Daphnia pulex: one gene and its partners. The protein of the gene in region 1 purifies or fractionates together with the protein of each later gene. This does not show direct contact. Links are inferred from orthologs where the notes say so. Each region holds a gene or a part of one and is shown on either strand. Other genes may lie near its edges.

Region 1 (8,151 bases):
CTGCGGATATATTAGATATGGATCATCATATTCCGCAGGATCGCGTGTCGCCGGAAGGTTTACATAGCCATGATTTTATCCGTCGTTTAAGTTGGGCTGTTCTGCCAGCTGCATGAGGCCTTATACTGCACTATACTATACGTCTATTTAAGTTGGTGACAGGACGTGCTGTCGCATATTCGGCATACGGCGCCAAAAGTCACGACGCCCGTTACCCTGGCAACTTGACTTCAACATTCGCTATTGAAATATTAGAACCATTATTATGTCTTCTTTTTTTCGTCTTCATTTCTTATTTTGTATTTTCCGGCTGTCTACTTTTGCCATCCAAATCTATATATTAGGCTACACAATTCCAGCCGCGTGATGGCAACGACAGCAGGCATATTTTTTTGGAATGTTTCTATTGTTTTATCTTTTTCTATTATTATATCGATCCAACCCAGTCGGGAATATTATAATTCACGTTAGTAAACGGTTTCTCGTCTGCATCGCATATGCTGTTGGCCTTTATGCGCCTTTTATGGAGAGCTAGAGACTGTTATATAGAAATCAATGTGTCATTTTTACCTGCTGAAGGAGCACCCGCTGCAGTTCATTGGCTTTGGCCCGTTTCCTTTCCCTCTCGGCCAACTCGGCGACATCCACCACGACATTCTGGCCACGCAGAAAGCTGGGACTGCATTACAACCAAAATATGGGCGATAAATCAATTGGGATCTCAACTTTTCCGCTTATTCTCTATGGACACAATCACACTCACGCCGCATTGGTTGCGCAGTGCTGGACGACAGCCTGATGACGGCTGATACTGGAACTGTCGCCCAAGGTCCGGTCTGCTGATGGATCGCCGGCAGACGACACGAAAGATGCTAATCAGTGGCCCATTGGCAAACAAAAGGAATGTGTGTAGACGTGATCTAATAGTACCCACCTGACATAAGAGGCTCGGTCTGAACAAAAGCGTTGGTCGGACGGGCCACCCATCGAGGTGGAGTCGACCTATCGTAAAGCTGTGGAAGACACTAGAGATGCCAACCAATAATCAATTCAATCATTTGATCTTGCCCCAATCAAACACATGAAGGCAGCCATGCTTTATTTAATCGATAATTTGTATACGTAATAAAAAAGAGCCCATTACCTCTGGGTAAAGGTCGTAGGGGACAGTTCCATCTTGGACCCACTTTTTGCGCTCGAGAAACTTATAATCGGCCCTGGCCGAAATTTCATTGGCCTCGTCGTGACGGTTGGAATTGATTTGCTCTTGATTAGTCGAGTGGTGATGGTGGATGATGACGTTGGAAGAATTTGAGGTGTCCGGCATGGGCTCGACGCTGGGTCCCCTGGACGACGACAATTGACGGCGGTGGCGCAGATGGTAATTAGGAGCCGATGGATCGATGAAGTGATTGTCACTCTGATAGCCGGAAGTTTCACCGTCCGTCACCGTGTGGCTGATGGCGTGACGCTTTGATCGCCGAGGCGGAGGCGGCGGCGGAGGCGGTGCGGTGGCGGGCGGCGCTTGCTGAACTTGTTCGTGTTGATGTGATCCAGTCGTCCAGTTGAGTGGAGGCAGGTAGTTGTCGTTTCTGATATATCCAGGAAACAATATCGCCATGTTATTTACGCAGCGCTAAAACAATAACGGAAACGAAAATGACGGCTAGATGACCGTCATCCGTCCACATATTTGATTTTTTCGACATAATTCGCGGATCATTGGGCTTGTGGTGCTGTGGGCTTACTTTTTATTGTCGACAGGAGTCAAGCGTGAATCGCTTCGGGCCGAGCTCCGGTTCCATTTCAACGGTGCGCCGCAACCCGGACGTCCCCATGGACACCAGTCGATTTTGGCCTCCTCTGTTATATAATAGACGCGATGATTTGATTGTATATACTCTCTTCGTTTGCCCAATTGACCAACTAATTTAAACCAAATTTAAAATGTGATGGATGACTTACCTCTTTCGCGGGCCCATTGTTGACGCTTGAGTTCCATCAGCGAAGGTTTTTCCATACCTGGTGGATGTCTGATGGAGAGTTGTCACACCAAGGGAGAGAAATGGCTGTGCAATAACTACAGCACGACGGACCGAACCGAACTGTCATGTATGCCGGAAATCCACGCCAGATGAGGGTTGAAAGAGTGGCAATCGATAAAACACGTACGACTCCCACGCCGTCACCAAGGTAACTCCCTACCTGTTCTCTCTCTTAGTTTTGATGGAAAGGCGACGCTCTCTTTGCGTAACTGAGCGACCAGCGACCTCAGCTGTTGTTGACGAATGCGTATTACCCAGCGCGATATTTCCACCATCAAACGCACAACACACACACGGATATTGGGTGCACAATTCAGATTCACACGCGCCATATTCTTTTAGTTGCGCTCTTACACTACACGTAGGGGGTCGTAAAATTGATTTTTCTTTTCTTTCTTTTATTCTATAGTGCAAGTGTATATGTAACACAATAGGTTTCCGGGGTCTATACGTTCGCCATTGTTTTTAAAAATAGGCAGGCAGGCAGCTAGGTAATCATTCAAGCGCAGCGGTGGTCAACCTTCAGTTTATTTATAGCTAGCCAACAATTCGTAAAGGGTACAACACGTCAACACTATTTCTTATTTATTTTAAATGTCGTGTCTACCGAATATTAACCAGCAGGCATGCTACATCGTTCATTTTCGCTTTGCTTTCACCTACTTTTAAATCATATCACTCAAGGAGTGCGTTTAGTCGGTCACGGAAAGAATATCAATCAAGTGTAGGCGCCTGTAGACTTTTTATTCAAAGAGTTACGTGGAAACGTAATCCTTCCTGTCTAATTCTACAAATGATATACAATCATACATCCATTGTACTAAAAGAATTACTAATTAATTTTCTCCTTTTTTTAAGGCGTCGAACAAATGAAAAAAGATTTGTTTTGTTTTTTTTTTAAATCCAGGTGTATTATATTAAAGAAAAAACAAATTTTAAATTACAGTTAACAACCTGATACAAATTAAGCAGCAAGCATTTGCAGATTTTCTCTTCTTTTTCTAATTTTGCCGTTGCGAAAAGAAGTATATATGCAATTGTTGGCAATGTTGCACACGATGTGGCAGACGAATTTTTATGACACATGAGAAAACAAATTTTATTTAACCATGGCAGTCCACGTGGATTTTTCTGATTCTTCTCCTGTTGAAGGACAATTTAGCGACGTTGAAGATGAAAAGTAATGCAATTTTTCATATTATCAAGTTATTTTAATGTAATTTAGTGCTTTTATCAGAGACTCGAACGTTGCTGAAGGTATTCGACAACTTAATCTTGAGACCAATGACGAAGTGCCGCCCGTCGATGAAAATAACGAAGTCTATTATTCAGACGATTCTGAAATGAGCGATGACGATTGTTACGATTGGCAATATGGTAACAACATAATGTTCAAAGCTTACTTTCAATTCGTTAACTGACAACATTTACTGCAGATCAGGGGCCTCAAATAAAAGTACAGGGAGCCCAACCCAACCAACAGACTAGTTCCAATAAAGTGGTTTCTTTCCAGCCAAGAGAAAAGCTATTCAAGAAATATTCCCAAAAGATTAATGTGGACGAGTTCAAAATGCCTTCGTTGCCAGGTGATGACAAGGTGCGTCTCAGAGACAAGGCAGACAGAGCTACTGCTGAGCAAGTTATGGATCCCCGGACAAGAATGATTCTGTTTAAATTAATGAACAGAGGATTTATCACTCAAATCAATGGTTGTATCTCCACTGGAAAAGAAGCCAATGTATATCATGCAACAGGAAAAGATGACACACATTTGGCCCTCAAAATTTATAAAACATCCATTCTTGTATTCAAAGACAGAGACAAATACGTCACAGGCGAGTTCAGGTAACCTTGACACCTTACAATCTTATTTTGTTTATGTTTGTGGCTCACTAGTTTTTTTTATTGCAGATTTCGACATGGTTATTGTAAGCACAATCCCCGTAAAATGGTTCGAACTTGGGCTGAAAAAGAATTGAGAAATTTATTGAGACTTGAAGCAGCTGGTTTACCATGTCCCAAACCAATTTTGCTGAGAAGTCATGTGTTGTTGATGACTTTCATTGGTGATGCTGGTTGGCCTGCCCCCCGACTAAAGGTATACTGAAAATATCCGATAGATTACACGGGTGTCGAGATTTAATTTGATGCTTTTATACTACAAGGAAGTTGAGCTGAGTGAATCGAAAGCCCGTGAGTTATATCGAGACACAATCATTTTGATGCGGCGAATGTTTCACGACTGCAGACTCGTTCACGCTGATCTCAGCGAATTCAACATGCTGTAAATTTTAAACTTGTGTGATTATTATAGACCCACGCTATTTATTATCTTAATTACCAATCCTAGGTATCATGAAGGATCATTGATCGTAATCGATGTGTCTCAATCAGTAGAACATGACCATCCGCATGCTCTTGAATTTCTTCGTAAGGATTGCACTAATATTACCGACTTCTTCAAAAGAAACGGAGTTTGCGTCATGACAGTTAAAGAACTTTTTGATTTTGTTGTTGATTTGACTATCAATGAAACCAATATTGAGGTATTTACAATTTGGAAAACACACTTGTATTTTTAGTGACACATTTTGAATTCCAGGACTACTTGGATAGAATGGCAACAGTTTCTTCCGAAAGAAATATTCAAGGAGAGTCTACAGCGGAAGATTTGGTGAAAGCAGAAGTCTTTAAACAGACATATATTCCTCAAAGATTAGATGAAGTGAGTGCGCGCCCTGGTTCATTTTCTTTCTTTTTCACTAACCTCAATATTCCGTCAGGTCATGTTCTTTGAACGAGACATTAGACAAATTAAAGCGGGAGAGAAAATTGAATTGAACTACGCGAATGTAACTGGAATTAAACCAGACTTGTCAGGCCCAAAGCAAGTTCCAGACATTTTGGATAATTCTATTGTGGACGGAACTAGCAGCGATGAGGCATCTGGTGAGTCTGATTCAGAAGATGGTGAAAAGAAACAATTTGTGAGCAGTGCACGACCTCGCGACGAATCCCCCAACAGTCGAAAGGTAAATTTTGCTGCTAGGTTTTTTAACGTCTAACTTTACCTTGAAATTCGTTTGGAATAGGAGAGGAAAAAGGCCATCAAGGCTGAGCAATCAGAAAAACGGAAGCAGAAAGTAAAGAAACACGTCAAGAAAAGAAAGGAAAAACTCGCCAACACCAAAAAGTAATTACCTTTTTTGATAAGTGTTTGCTGATGTATTTTTTCGACTCAAATAATATGGGAAATTTACCAAACCAGAAGGTTTTATTTTTTAATTCCTTATAAAATCACGAATCTTAAATGTGTATTGAATTCCCCGACCGAGATTAAACATATGATAGAAACTCTGAGATTACCTGAGAAAGAGTTATAGATCACAACAGATATGAGAGATAAACGTTGACTTTGGCATTCAACCCGTACATGATTCCATAATAACATTACGATACGTTAGCACTGATAAGAAAAATTAAAGCAGCAATAGCAACAACTGCTCCGAGTGATGCAGCACTAATTGGAACGAAGCACAATTTAGCCGTTCCTTTGTGACATGCAATGAATGTCATGAACGAATCCAATTTTTGAGCCGGAACATCTTGAAAGCCGAACGGACGAACACGTATCCTCATTCCTACAGAGCGCACGTTTCGACTTGCAGCAGTAACATACGCAGCCTGTGGTAAGGAAACAAATTCGAATTACTTTTCCTGTTGTTCTTTTGGATGTTAAGAGATCTTACAGAAACCAGTGGAGCTATGGAAACAGTAGCCCACTGAACCAACAACATTATCACAATAAAAGAGTGCGCATCGATTGTATAGTACAGAAATCCAGGATGAATGACGGTCATTGTCGTCACAATTGTACGGGTCGTGGAGAGTAGCAGGAGTAAACCGATGGCTGGAGAAACATTTTCGTTCAAGTACAGCAGGAACTTTTCAAATTCCAACATTTCCTGTTGAATCGATAAAATTCAATTCTATTGTTTGTTATCTATTAGCGCAATTTTCTACATGGGAAACTAATGAGCTGTTTCTTACTTTCATGGCGATTTCCAACGACATGGATTTCTCAACTACGCGTTCGCTAATAGAACTAACGTACGACATCAATAATTGGCATTCTATGCAATAGTTGCTAACAACTAAGCAGTGAACAACGTCTTGGCATAAAGTGGAGGCAATCATTACCCCCATCAATGAATTGCGGACGGGGTTACTCCTGTAATAATAGAAAGTAAACAAAAAAAAAGTTTAAATATTGACCGACTAATCGACAATAGAAAATAACTTGCATTTGAGGAAGGAACCAAACTGTCTTTATTGGACTGGTGCAGACAAGAAAAATTTGAGCGATGAGTGACCAAAGTAACCAAACCACTGAGAGTATAACATGTGTACGAAGTCTTCGAAGAAGAACTCGTTGTGTCGTTGCTCCTCTTGATCTCGAAGTCAGTAAAAAGACCTGCAAACTCACAGGAAACCTAAAGTTAAAATAAGAAATGCAGTACTCAAATTACCAAGTCCACCTCACTAACCTTCTCAAAGAGTGTTTGTAGATGTTCATTATCTGTTATTCGCAATAAATAAATTGTTTGGATAAATGCGCCGAGATGTAACAATGGAGGTAAAATGTAGCAAAGGAAAAGACTTCCATCACACACAACTTCAGGTGTGTCAAGTGACTTGGTCAAATGTCTGACATTTTGACTAACATGATCAACACCAGGAATTTTAATGTATGAAAAACCTTTGTCCCTTCTAAACAAAAATTAATATTTAATTTCAGATTAACCTTGGGAATAGAAAGAATAAATAGTAGTAGCAATATGACACCTGTAGCATGTTAAGAGTTGCATTACATAACCAAAGATGAGGAAGCATGTCACCAAGAATAGATGGATTTTGTTAATTGCACTCAGAGCAAGCGTTTGGTCATTGAAGTCTCCTAACAGAGGTCTTAGACCAAGTAGTCCCAAAAGCCTAGTGTATGGTAGAATCATCTTGCGCTGGCAGTAGTTCAAAACTGCAGATGTACTAAAAGGTTGTGGTGGGTTGTATTCCAATAAATCACGAATCTCATGAAAACATGAAGAGAAGTTCAAATTTCCAGAAATTGGTGGTAGAAAATATTACTGTAAAAGAATACTACCTCCGATACCTCAACAATTTCACAATTTTCTGGGCTGTTACTGACAGTGGCAGTTCTACCTAAACAAACTGGTGCTCGATTGCAAAATGATGTATCGACGTTTGAAGCCATTTCGATCATTCACTACATTAAAAAATATATGACTTTCCCGTTAAGGATTGATAACAATCGAATGTTTCATGGAAAGATAACAACACAGTATATTAAACCAAGTAAGAACTAAGAAGTCACACAACGGGCAACGGCAACCTTTCTCGAAGTTCAGAGTCTGTAAATCAAAACAAACAACGTTGCCGGTTGCCCCATTGAAGTTTTATTATGGTAATTTTTTTTTAATTTTTTTTTACTTCTTAAATTTTAAATTTGTGCAAATCAATCAATCTAACATACTTTAAAATAACAACTAACAAACTATAAATTTAGTAATAGCCAGTAGTACTGCAATAAATGGTGCAATAAAACCAACACGCACGACGCACGTCAACAGCATTGAATTGAATTTCATATTATCATATTAAGCGACTAACCATTATCCCATGAGTTCCATGTGCCACATTTCACAGAAAATTTCAAGGTTATACTGTAATAGTAAAGAGGCAAATGAACGAGTCCGTTAAACCGTTATGTCCGTTAACGGTTTATAGTAAAACTTGTACTCAAATTAACCACCTAGATCGGATGACTCTGCCTAGATGGCGAAATCGTCGAGCTGTGGGCCATCTGGCGACAGTCGTCCAATGTTGTTGTCTGATTAGGACCTTCGTTGCCGAAAAGAAAAATGAAAAAAATATGGCGACCGAACACGTTGCGACTTGCGAGTGTCGGTGGTGTCGGTTAAGAGCGTTAAGAGGCGTACACATCAAGAATTCGTGCTAGTGAAACAGCAATGCAAAGCACCGCGTGTGAATTGTCCTTAGAGAGAAGAAAAAAATTTCACACAGTTAG
Region 2 (6,364 bases), on another chromosome or scaffold:
GAGCAAACTCTTATTGACTTCAGACGGCAGTGTGTCGTCAACGAGGATGTTGGGTCCCGTGGAATCGGGGCCAAATGCCCAAATGGATCGGGCAGCCAACAAATCCCAATCGTATTTGCTCTGGAAAAACTCGCTCAATTTTTTCCTGCGTTTTGGAAAATTAGGAAATAATTATTCAACTACTCTCTGAAAAAGAATTCCAAGTCTTTTTTACTTGTTCCAATTGATTTGGACGACCCCATTTTCAATATCTTCGGCCAAACCTTTCTCCAGGGGTTCCGCAATCATTGTGATTTTATTCTTTTTGTTTGGAGTTTCGGCAAAACATTTCAGTGAGGACGTTTCCACGACCGTTTCGCAAAAAGACACCACAGGATCAGCAACTACAAGAAAAACCAAAGTGAATTAGTTAAATTAGAAGAATTAACAGTTGGGAAGAAATGAATGGCAAACCTTTAATGTCGATTTCCGAGTACATTTTCCTGAGATCGTGCATGACACAGTCCAGGTAAAGTTCGCCTGTTCCAAGAATAACGTGCTCGCCCGACTCCTCCACTCGCGTCGAGAGCAACGGGTAAGATTTGTTAACCTTACGCAGACCGTCCAACATCTTGGGCAATTCGCTGGGATTCACCGGCTCAACGGCAATTTTGATGATGGATTGCGTGTTGAATTTCAAGGGTCGGCAAATGTACAAGTCCTCGTCGACGTGAACCTGGACGATGGTCGACGTCTTGACCACTGAGGCATCGATCCCTTCGATCAAGACCCAACTGCCTGCCGTTACTCTATTGACTTCGATCTTGTAACGGGCCTCGTATATCCAAAGTCGACCGATCGTCAACACACGTGAATCTTCTTCGTCATTGAGCGAATAGTTTTCACCCAGGAGTCGGACGTTCTGGTGAGCGTGAAGGGTCCCACTCAGGACACGACCCAGGACATAGAATCCAGTGCAGTCCTCTGTGGGATACTGTTTGGTAGTATGGACAACCAGTTGGCCGTTGGGATCACAGTTGACCATGTCTTCGCCCAGGATGGACTCCAGGGGACCTGTGTAAATGTGTTCCACTTTGGTGCGAGCAGCCGTTACGGGCGACGGGACGTGTTTGACGCACATTTCCACGAAACCTACACACACCAGTCAAACATTGACATTTAAAGACCGTTGCTTCAATTCAACATACATTTTAATTGACATACCGCTGAAAGTGCCCAGGTAGCGACTGCAGACCAGTCTCAACAAGGGGCGAGTGTTTAACCGCTGTTCCTCGACAGTCAGGCGAATGCCAAGTTCGTCCAGCAACTGCGGTAGACTCGAATCCAAATCTCCCACAACCTAAACAAGCAAAAAATATTGGAAATGAATCAACTGTTCAAATTAACTGCAAAGTTGTCCTTGGTACATGCCTGGGCAAAGATTTTGTACAACGGCTCTAAAATGAACTCGATGAAACTTCGCTGAGCCGAGCTATGTGGCGGCTTTTTGGTGAACTTTCTCGTCTTGCTGTTGAAGTAAATGTCACCCCACAGACGACGTGCTAACTCGTTGTCGTTGATATCGGATCCGTATCTAAAATGAAAGAAAATGAAGTTTCATTTAAGACCGTCATTGCCATTGTGGACGTGTGCGTACGTGTCACTGTAAAGTTTGGCGAAGGATTTAAGGGTGAAGCAAACGGAGAACTGGGCAGAAGCAAAGCAGACGTTGCCCAACAAGGGCGACACGAATTTTGGATTCTCTTCGTCGCTGTACAGGCCCAAAAGACCGTTGATCTCTTCAATGATGTAGCGCAACTTGTAATATGCGTCCTGAGGTGGCAGCTTGAGCTCCAAAATGAGTCGATCGATTTTGTTGATGCAAACTGTGATGGCCATTTTCTCCTATGAAAGGACAGGGTTAAAAAGAAATTCTTGGAATAACCAAGTTGAAGTTTTTTTTTTTTTTTAATTACCTGGACGGCGTGCTTCAAGATTCGTTCCGTGTTGAGCATGACACCCTCGACAGCGTCGACAAAGAGGACGATACCATCGCAAAGTCTCAGGGCAGCCGTGACTTCATCTGAGAAGTTGACGTGACCTTTAAGAAACATCAAAATCGATTAAATACATTTTTCCCCCCCATTTTGCAAGTTGGAAAACTGTAATTTACCAGGTGTGTCGAACATGTTGAGGAGGAAGGATTTTTCGTTCAGGTCGGGCATGACCACGGTAATGGGCGTCGCTTTGATGGAAACACCTCTCTCTTGTTCAGTAAAGAGTGTGTCTGTGTATCTGACAGGCTTCTCCTCTCCACTGCCAGGTTTTCCCGTCTGGAGATCTGGGTGTGTTTGCATGAGCAGACAATCCATGAAGGAAGTCTTGCCATGGTGCAAATGACCAACAAGGGCCACTGAACGAATAAGTTCTGCAGAGTCCATGAGATCAGCCAAAAACTCCATGTTATACGTGGTTTCAGGGAGTTCTTGCTCAGCAACCTAATGAAAATGGGTGGAAACAGGTTAATCAACAAAATGAAATATGGCAGCGAAACAATTTGTGGTACCTGAAACTTCCTTCGTTTGACAGGTGCGATGATGGGTTCAGTCAAGGGCTGAGCATCTTCTTCCTGCACCAGTGTCTCCACACCAGGTCCGTAAACCTCCAACGCTGATGGATAGTATTTTTTGTCTTCATGCAAAACAATGGCCATCTGTGCGTCGCCATCAACCACCGTTTGATCCATGGCCTCTTCGGAATCATTGTCACCATAGTCTTCGGCTTCGTCATCGTGATCAGCCTCGTCTCCTTCCTCATTTTCGTCTTCATCTGACTCGAGTTCGGGTCCAATGTAATTGCCGAATTCGTCGTAGAGATCGGCGTCCATTCTTGACAGTCAACTGAGTCGTTTGCTGTCTGTAAATTGGGCAGATACTTTGGATGTTGTCGATCGGTATTCGGCTTAACCCAACACTCACAGTTATAAAGCTGTTTCAAAAGGGAATTTCAGAAAAGCCGGGCCTTTCAAGAAAATGCGTTTACTATGCGTACAGATTTGCACGCGCTCAAAACGAGCGACACTAGCGACATCTAGCGGGTGCCAATGAAATCTGAATTTAAGAACAGCGCCATCTACCAGCTAGCAGGTGGATTATGAGTGGCAAAAAAAATGAAAATAAAATAAAATGAATAAAATAAATAAAAATAAAAATAAATAAATAAAAATAAAATAAAAGAGAAAAAAAAAATTCACAGCGTAATAAAATGCAAATGGGAATCCCGTTGAGGGCGGGGTTTTCCCTACCCGAATAAGGAAATGTTTCTGGCGCTGTTTTTTTGCTTGTGCACTGGAAACTGAAATCTAGTTGTGAATTTATATAGATGACGTGTCAGTCGCTATCAGGTCGGGTCCACGACGGAAAAAAACATTTTGTAGGAGAAACAAAGTCAGTCGAACACGGGCGATAATATCAATCAAAGCGGGCGAAATAAGGAGTAAAATGCCGTCATGTTTTTGAATTGAATAACGGAATAAATCTCAGCAGTCGTCTGATGTCTACGCACACAGTGCAGAATTTCAGTTTTGCCGGGCGATGGAAGCCCCCTGGATGGGCAAGTGCCCTTATATGATTTATTGCTGCCGACTCGTATGGAAAGATATATTAGACGTCTTTATCTGCAGACGAGTCTACAGACGAGCGACCCCGATTTATATATTCGCTTGTTGGTTTGTTGTTGCCAAAAGGAAATCACAAAAAAAAAACCCAAAAAATACTTGGGATGATATGGGCAGATCGACAAAATCAATGCCGGCCATTCGGTGATGTAGACCAGCCCAGCCCAGCCCAACTAGAGTTCTCCTTCTGTCCATGGGTTCTCGGTTGATGGTTCTTTTTTTTTTTTTTATTCGGGATATAATCACCGTTATCGGCGATGCTTCGAGTTGCTTGTTCTGTTTTTGTTGTTTGCAGCAATGTCATCCATTGTGTAGGCGGATAGAATGTACCCGGTTGAATGTCGCTGCACACATTTAGACTTGGCCAACAGCAGCAATCGACTTCCTCCTCCTTATTCCTCGTGCGTGAATTTTCCGTGGGGGTGTCCAATCAATAGCCCGACAGACTCTGACTGAGATTTTTTTTTTTTTTGGTTTGTTTTGTTTTTCTCTTTTTAAATTTCTATCCATCATCTTTTTTGTGTCTGCGGGGGGGTCACTATACTGTCCGGTGTGCATTGCCACGGCGGTGTAGTCTGTCGGGAGTCAAGGCTTAATGGATCGCAATGATTATTGGACGGCATTCATTACTACACAATACCCTTCGACATGGATGAAGCGATTGTAGTTCACTGGACTCCTGGACACATTAGACTTACGAAATGATTGATTGTTAATCAAGTCTCGTGGTGATGACGGAATGTTATTAGACCTCGACATTGGTCGAGCCAACAATCTCCACCCCAATTATAAAATTCGGCAACTCAGACATCGGTCGGGATTCATTTTGGCTAGACGCGAAAAAAAGACAAAAAGAAAACGTTTAGACATTGGCCGATTGGTGATGGAACAAACAACAACAACAACAGCGTCAAGACACAATAAAAAAAAAACGTCGAAGAATAAGGATAGTCGAAAAGATCCAAGATTGAGATTATTTCGGAATCAAAAGAAGAAAGAATAAAAAGAGAAAAAGAAACTAGCTGACTGGGCTGGGCTCCTGGGCTGGGCGAGGTTGTTTTTTTCTTCTTTCCTTCCTTCTCTCTTGTATAGTAGTATCACCATGTATATTTTCCTTTTGGCTTTTCTATTTTCCTTATAGGCGACGGCCACAATATATCGCCGCAGAATAGTCTAGCTGGTGTGTGTAGTAGATACACAGACAGAGATATAAACATGCATGTAGTCTCTCTCTCTCTTTCCCCCCCCCTCTCCGTCTCTTCTATTTTTCTTAAAGAATTCGTGTGTTGTTGTTGTAGTTGTTTGTAACGGGGTTGCCTGCGCACGAGTCTATGCTGCTGCTGGAAAGGAAACCGAAAAGAAGGAGGAAGAAGAAGGAGGAGAGAGGAGGGAGAGAGAGAGTCTACCAGCCAGGAGCCAGGAGCTACACGCAGCAGCAGCAGCAGTGGTGGTGGTGGCCTTCGCCAGAGAGACAGTCGACTGTCTCGACTCGACTTGCCGAGTTATTAGCCGACAGCAGCAGCAGCAGTCGACTACCCGCCGTCCATCCGTCCGTCCGCACACCAGCACAGCAGCACATCGTCAGCAGCAGCAGAAGCGGAAAATGGAGTGCAATAAGTGAAGATCGTGACAAGTGTTGACGATCGGCCGACAGTGTTTGAAAAGACGTTTTCTTTTATAGGATTTGGAGTGGTCGGTTCGGATGTCGGTTCTTCGCTTCTCATCGATCCATCAGCAACATCGTCGACCGCTTTTGCCCGTCGTCTCGGAAGAAGATAGAGCAGCAGAAGCAGACGACGGCCACAGTTCAGAGAAGAAGCCGGCCGGCCGGCTCGTCACATTTCACATCCCTGCAGCTGCTGCCGGCTGCTTTCGGAAATGACCATCATGTTTGTGGTAGTGCAGTGGTTCAGTGGCTGCTGCTGTGGCTGGCCGTCGTTGTCGTCAGCCTACAGCAGCAGCAGCAGCAGGAGGACAAGGGCCAGCAGCAACAGTTTGATCATCCTGGCCGCTCTTCTCATGATCCTGTGCAGTTCCCAGTTGATTGCCGTGTCCGAGGTGCGTTTCAGTGACCCCGCCAACGTCCATCTCCAGGTCCAACATCTACAGGTCCAGCAGCCGCAACACTTTGTCGCCAGCAACTCGTCGTCGGCGTCCATCGGCGACGTGGCCGCCACCCGTCCGCACCGGAGGAGTCGCCGGCATTGCCCGTCGTGTCGTCTGCCGTTGACGCCCATCCACGTCCATCGGCAGACGGAAGGCGAAGAAGAGGAAGGAGAGGAGGAGGACGGACAAAAGTCGTCGCTGGACGTGGTTGTGGCTCAGCAACAACATCAAACGACGATCGGCGAATCGGCCCGTCTCGAGTCCATCAAACGTCAAATCCTCATCAAACTGGGACTCAACGCCAAACCGAATTTGCTCTCGTCCGTTATTCCGCCCAGGGATTTCATCCTGGAAACGTTGCTGAGGGCGGAAGAGTCTTCTTCCTCGTCCCGTCCCCATCAGTCCCAGTCCCAGTCGCCTCAGGGTAAACAGGCCCAGCCGCATCATCCGCATCACTCGCAGGCCGACGGGAGCGTGGACAACGTCATCGTGGACGACGATTTCTACGGCAAGACATCGGAGATTATCGCATTCGGCGAGCCAGGTAATCTATAACTCAATTAGGATCCATAACGGGTCCCGGCTGTCCAGGTCCCGGTCCCG
Region 3 (5,237 bases), on another chromosome or scaffold:
TTACCTGATTTTGGAAAAGAAAGAATGAAGACATCATCATCCCGCAGCTGAAAATCGTAATACGTTTTCCAATCTTTTTTGTAAAACAATGGCATCAACAAATTTCCCGGTTGACATCTCACAAAACCATCGCTGTAACCAGGAAACGCTGCAAGAAGTTTCGCTTTTGTTTCGGCATCGGGAAACTCAAAATGCAATGCCATTTTCGCGGGATAAGTCAGGGAATGGGGCGCTGGCGCAGAGTACCGAGAATAATTACCACCGAGGGAGATGTAGCGGAGAAAGTCTGTCGTGCTATGCGTGAGACGCTAAACTCGAGACTGAATCAATATTGAGACTTTCCGAGAGGCTTGAGAACGTTGAACTTTGATACAACCCAAGCTACAGCGCCACCATGACCACAAAAGGCGTTCTTGAGTAGCACTACTGTTATCGATCTTGTCTTTTCTAGTGGAAGGTTCACATAATGTTAACGTCAACCGAAGCTTTACCTCAGAAAAAATGCTAAACATTCTGCACGCTTTGTCGAAACACGTCACATTTTTTTCATTTCAAGTTACCTTAAGAAGTTCTTTTTTTAAAGAAAACCAATGCTTTCTTTACTGTGGCAGCGATATTTTTAAGTTAAAGATTATTAAACTTGTTTTTTTTGTCACACATACAGTTTTTTTTTGCTTCCCGCTTAAAATCTACACATAATATTGGAGCGGGCGCATTCTTTTTTTTTAACTAACCGAGAATACTCGCGTTCATGGCAATCGAACAGTGAGGTGACACCAAAAATTGTTTTACATTAATTATCTCCTATGCTTTGAAGTTTTATTATTTAAAATTTCAAAGAAAGCAATAGTAAGTAAAGCGTGAATAAGGGAAATATGTGCGGTTAATGTTCAGGATCGGCATCTTCAAACTGACCCATGTCTGACTCCATGTTCTCCGCCTCACCATTATCATGATCTTACGAACAATTGAGGTGCACATTGAGAAAAACAATAAATATTTGTCGGATATCAATTAAATGAAATTATATCAGATTTACCATTTTCAGCTGTTTCTGCTCCATCAAGGCAATATTCTCCTTCCTCAGTATCTTCAAAATCTCCTTCTAAATAAAAAAAAAAGTTAATACAATAATCTGCAAAACTTTTGCCTTTTGTCAAATATTACCATCTGAAATTGAATCATTAGGATCAGGATGGAGTGTTTGACATATTGTCATGGCATGGTACATGGCATCAAGAAGTCCCCGATCTTCTGGAATAAACCTTACTTCAGACATATCAGTTTCAGATTCCTCATCCTCAGAATCTTGATTATCTAAAGCTTCATCTTAAAAATATAACTTTAATCAGACAAACCTGGAAACATGAACACATCTCACATAACATTTTCTCAAATGATATTTTAAACATAAATATAGAATTGGGTATTACCGGGTTCATCAAGCCTTGAATCCAACATCAAGTACAAGCATTCCTGTGGAAATGCAGAAGGATCTTTTGAAACAGCATGTAACGATATGTGGGGGTATTCCAGCGAAAATCCCTGGCCAGATGTGGCACTAACCCATGATACACGACTAAATGGTTTGGAATAGGTAAAATTATTTTTCCGTGACTCTTGTAATCGAAAACTTAAATAGAATATAAATATAAATTAACCTTTCTGCAATATATAATGTTCCTTGGCCCAAGTCTCTGGTGTTGATGAAAGCTCCAGTATTAGGCTGAACTAATTTGATTCCTTCGGTAGGCGGAGGAAATGAAGATAATACAACCATTTTTTAAGAAATTTAACGAATTCAGAAAAGAAGAAGAGCAACAATTTGAAAATGAAATATGATTCGAATCACGCTGTCAGCAGCACAACGTTTTAAAAAAAAATTGTAGGCTGCAATGAAAACGTCATCTAGGGACTAAATCATGAACCACGAACACATCACCTGACTTTAGCTGTCACGAGACTCGAGACTGTCAAACTTTTTCTAAAGGCAATTGCAGCTGCTGTTGACCAGACAAGAAGGCAAGATGAAAGTGGCATCAATTGTCGGCGTATTTTGTCTATTAACCTCAGGTAATTATTTTCTAGCGATTGAAAACTACAGCTTTTGAAGTGTTTTGTTGCAATGCAGTCCTGGGAAATGGAGAGTTCAGCATCTTGCACAGCCCTAATGGAGTCAACTTTAGGGGAGATGAACAGCTGAATACAAGTGAATTGCCAAAAATTATTTCCACTGCAATGGGGCACACAACACCTTTTGTAAGTTCTTTCATTCATTTATAACTTTGTAGATTAGGAACTATATGTTTGGTTCCAAACGAAGGAGTGATATTGCAACTTGATGTATCTATGATGAAATCAGTTTGAAGCAATACCATTATTTGCTGTTTTCAGGGTGACTCGTGGAATGGACTTACAGTCTTGAATCCATTTAATTACCCAGAAGTTTCAGTTGCTGTTGTTGTTGAGGGTGTGCAAAGTCTCCAGTTGAGTGAACCCAGATACCCACTAGAGATCACCTCTACTCTTGATCAAGTGAAGGATGATTTCACTTCTATTCTAGGCCAAGTTGTATTTGACGAAAATGACTTATATTCTGGTGAAACCCAGAAGATTTTGGCACTTCAAAAGCTCAACAAAAAGGATGTTGCTGTCTTGCAGTTTCTTAAAGATATTGATGTTTTGATGGATTTAAAACATAAGGTATTTTCATTAGTTAAAAAATAGTGAGAGGTTTTTACACACAATACATTATTTTCAAAAGGTATTGGCAAAATCCGTCTTCAAGACTGTTTGGATCCGCCTTAATGGTTTGGATGATATCATCAGTGTCTATGGTCAAGACTCTGAGCAAGCTTTGGAAGCAGTTACTATTTTGAAATCTGCTCTCGGCGAGCTTCAAGATGCACTAGAAAACACTTATGGCGATCGAGTATGACACAGTTATATTTGAATTCGAAAAATTTGTGTGTAACAATTTTTGTCTTTTTATAGTTTATCCTAACTGCCATAACCATTGAAAGACTTCGCCTTCGAGAAAAGAGGTCTACGACTTCGAATGCCAAAGCAAATAGCGTATGATTTTTTAAAATTTTATTTTCAAATAATAGTCGAGGGTTAAAATAACTTTATCCTCCTTCTTTCAGGAACTGTATTGGAAGTTGAATTTATCTAAACGCTATGGATCGGATTACTCATCCATTTTTAATATCCTTTTATGGACATCCGTTTTCTTGATTGCTGCTCTTATTTCCACCGCTGGTAATTGATTAATCTGAGTTCGATTTTTGCAATCTGCCATAACATTATCCCTTTAATTTTTCAGTGTTTATTTGCACACTCGATCCTGGTCGTGACTCCATCATCTATCGGATGACGACACAGCGCATCAAAAAGGAAAATTAGAGAAGTCACATTCCGATTTATTTGTTGGCTTGAGCCTCACTGATAATAATTTAGCGTGTAAAAAAATGTTACTTTGTTTGGTGTACATTTTCTAGCTTTTCTTTGTTCATGTCGTAGCCATAACTGTTCGTTCTGTGTGTGATTACACATTTAAACGAAGTTTTGTTTTCCCGTCGAGTTGAGTGCTTTTTCGATGATCCGAGTCATCGTCCAAGTAAGGAAATATTAACATTCTCCTCTGCTGTGTAACTGATTGTGTTATGGGCACGCGACATCCGAATCGCTCTCCTCTCACTTTCACCACGGCGTTTTGGAGAAAGGATTCTTACTATCTCTAAACGAGTTTCCATCGAGAGCTTATTTTGGTCTGTAGCGTGTTATTAAAAAAAACAACGTGTTTTGTATTCGTCGGATGCTTTCTGCAATCCCTTGGGCTATGTCCTACTTTTGCGCAGTAGTATCAGACTTTTATCATGAGCATCTACCATGGACAATCGATAGAAACGACTGGTCTTTCTCCACATTGATAATAACTCAAGTACCTTGGGTAAATAACAAAAACATGAACAATCGGCCTCGGGTATCATTAATCACTGTTATCGGTCACAGAAATACAGAGAAACGAAACGCTATCCCCCCCCCCCCCATGGAATCTCTAGTTGGTAAGAATGGAAAATGTTGTTTTAATATTCGGAATATTTAATCACGGAAGACTGGCTCTTTTTTAATTAACCATTATTACGCTCAAGTTGCGAGTTGACTTGATAGTTTTCATGACTTTTCCATGTCTAAGGGCCCGCGTAGACAAAGAAGATACTTTCTATTTAACATCCAGTTTTTTTTTTTCACTTGAACATTTGCCAAGGTTTATAATTCCTATTTTCTGCGCTGTAAATCACGAACCAGTGTTTTTTCTGGGCTAAAAGTCTCACTACGCTCTAAAAGTCAGTGGCCTTTTTTCCTGTTTGGAGAATTATATAAATTTGCACGAATTTAACGAAGAAGAACGCGATTATGTCGACCGATTCAACTTTTTATGGGTTAACTAACGCAAAGTGAGGTGAAGCTGAAAAAGAATCGGACGACAAATTTGGGCTTTCATCGTGAAACTAATACTTTGGGCGAAGGTTATTTTCATAAATAAGAAAAGTAATGAGGGAAAGAGCATGGGAAAGCCAGAGTGTCATGACTGTCATCGGCCCGCGAAACAATATTTTGCGGTTCTTTGGAACCAGAACGACGCCGAGAAAAACATATTCTCGGGAAGTTTATGACATCAACCCTCTGGGACTTCTATAGAAAAGTCACTTGTGGCGCAAATTGCTACAATCACAGTGTGAGAGACTTAAAACGGAGGTAAAACGGGAAGGCTATAGGTGGTTTTTTGTAGCACCTGCGTGTGTGGATTATCCTGAATTAGGAAAATTTAATTCGGAACAATTTGCTATTACCGGGGGAAAACCTTAACGGATCGCCATCAAACCTATAGGCCAAACTAGAGCTTTTCTGGAGGCTTAAGTAATTATTCTTTGAACAAAGCTTTAAACAAATTTCTTAAAAATAAAATAAATGTTTAGGAAAGAACCTTGAAAATTCTAAGTAGAAAAAAAGATAAAAAGGAAACTGAGCGCGCGACGAAGTGTTCTTACTCATCCCCGCTTTGAGGTATGAACTCAAAAAACAAACAATTTACCAATAATTTCCCGAAATGATGTAATATCAATTTGTCAAGCTTTGAATAAAGCTCGAGCGTAGCCCAGACTTTAGTATGGATTTTCCGTATGCGCGTGCTTATTTCTACTTCTTTCGTCCCAGTTTTTGGATTCGGCTGA

What was found. The genes of interacting proteins can lie anywhere in the genome.
Region 2: the proteins of serine/threonine-protein kinase RIO1-like (region 1) and 116 kDa U5 small nuclear ribonucleoprotein component-like purify together in Homo sapiens (affinity purification with mass spectrometry; 3 studies listed by BioGRID). This does not show direct contact. The link is inferred for Daphnia pulex from reciprocal best matches to the Homo sapiens genes RIOK1 and EFTUD2.
Region 3: the proteins of serine/threonine-protein kinase RIO1-like (region 1) and methylosome subunit pICln-like purify together in Homo sapiens (affinity purification with mass spectrometry; 3 studies listed by BioGRID and IntAct, with this or other methods). This does not show direct contact. The link is inferred for Daphnia pulex from reciprocal best matches to the Homo sapiens genes RIOK1 and CLNS1A.

The regions. Positions count from the first base shown.
Region 1 is NC_060022.1:119,576-127,726, reverse strand, and holds serine/threonine-protein kinase RIO1-like, read left to right. Parts: upstream 1-3,094; 5' UTR 3,095-3,154; coding exon 3,155-3,225; intron 3,226-3,282; coding exon 3,283-3,422; intron 3,423-3,481; coding exon 3,482-3,890; intron 3,891-3,956; coding exon 3,957-4,143; intron 4,144-4,210; coding exon 4,211-4,329; intron 4,330-4,395; coding exon 4,396-4,591; intron 4,592-4,647; coding exon 4,648-4,770; intron 4,771-4,828; coding exon 4,829-5,077; intron 5,078-5,137; coding exon 5,138-5,242; 3' UTR 5,243-5,309; downstream 5,310-8,151. Other genes in the region: coiled-coil domain-containing protein 66-like, read right to left, coding at 571-679, 764-836, 935-1,025, 1,145-1,592, 1,749-1,863, 1,966-2,020; uncharacterized protein LOC124195509, read right to left, coding at 5,496-5,729, 5,795-6,010, 6,096-6,276, 6,350-6,519, 6,593-6,815, 6,891-7,132, 7,207-7,326. UniProt on the Homo sapiens protein: Involved in the final steps of cytoplasmic maturation of the 40S ribosomal subunit. Involved in processing of 18S-E pre-rRNA to the mature 18S rRNA. Required for the recycling of NOB1 and PNO1 from the late 40S precursor.
Region 2 is NC_060028.1:8,365,703-8,372,066, reverse strand, and holds the start of 116 kDa U5 small nuclear ribonucleoprotein component-like, read right to left. Parts: upstream 3,087-6,364; 5' UTR 2,867-3,086; coding exon 2,546-2,866; intron 2,478-2,545; coding exon 2,153-2,477; intron 2,081-2,152; coding exon 1,956-2,080; intron 1,885-1,955; coding exon 1,637-1,884; intron 1,574-1,636; coding exon 1,411-1,573; intron 1,340-1,410; coding exon 1,204-1,339; intron 1,132-1,203; coding exon 454-1,131; intron 384-453; coding exon 215-383; intron 146-214; coding exon 1-145. Other genes in the region: inhibin beta chain-like, read left to right, coding at 5,534-6,305. UniProt on the Homo sapiens protein: Required for pre-mRNA splicing as component of the spliceosome, including pre-catalytic, catalytic and post-catalytic spliceosomal complexes. Component of the U5 snRNP and the U4/U6-U5 tri-snRNP complex, a building block of the spliceosome.
Region 3 is NC_060018.1:1,923,253-1,928,489, reverse strand, and holds methylosome subunit pICln-like, read right to left. Parts: upstream 1,968-5,237; 5' UTR 1,781-1,967; coding exon 1,662-1,780; intron 1,580-1,661; coding exon 1,434-1,579; intron 1,330-1,433; coding exon 1,168-1,329; intron 1,106-1,167; coding exon 1,040-1,105; intron 958-1,039; coding exon 884-957; 3' UTR 787-883; downstream 1-786. Other genes in the region: sulfotransferase 1E1-like, read right to left, coding at 5-203; renin receptor-like, read left to right, coding at 2,028-2,073, 2,132-2,259, 2,395-2,703, 2,765-2,932, 2,995-3,075, 3,147-3,261, 3,326-3,405. UniProt on the Homo sapiens protein: Involved in both the assembly of spliceosomal snRNPs and the methylation of Sm proteins.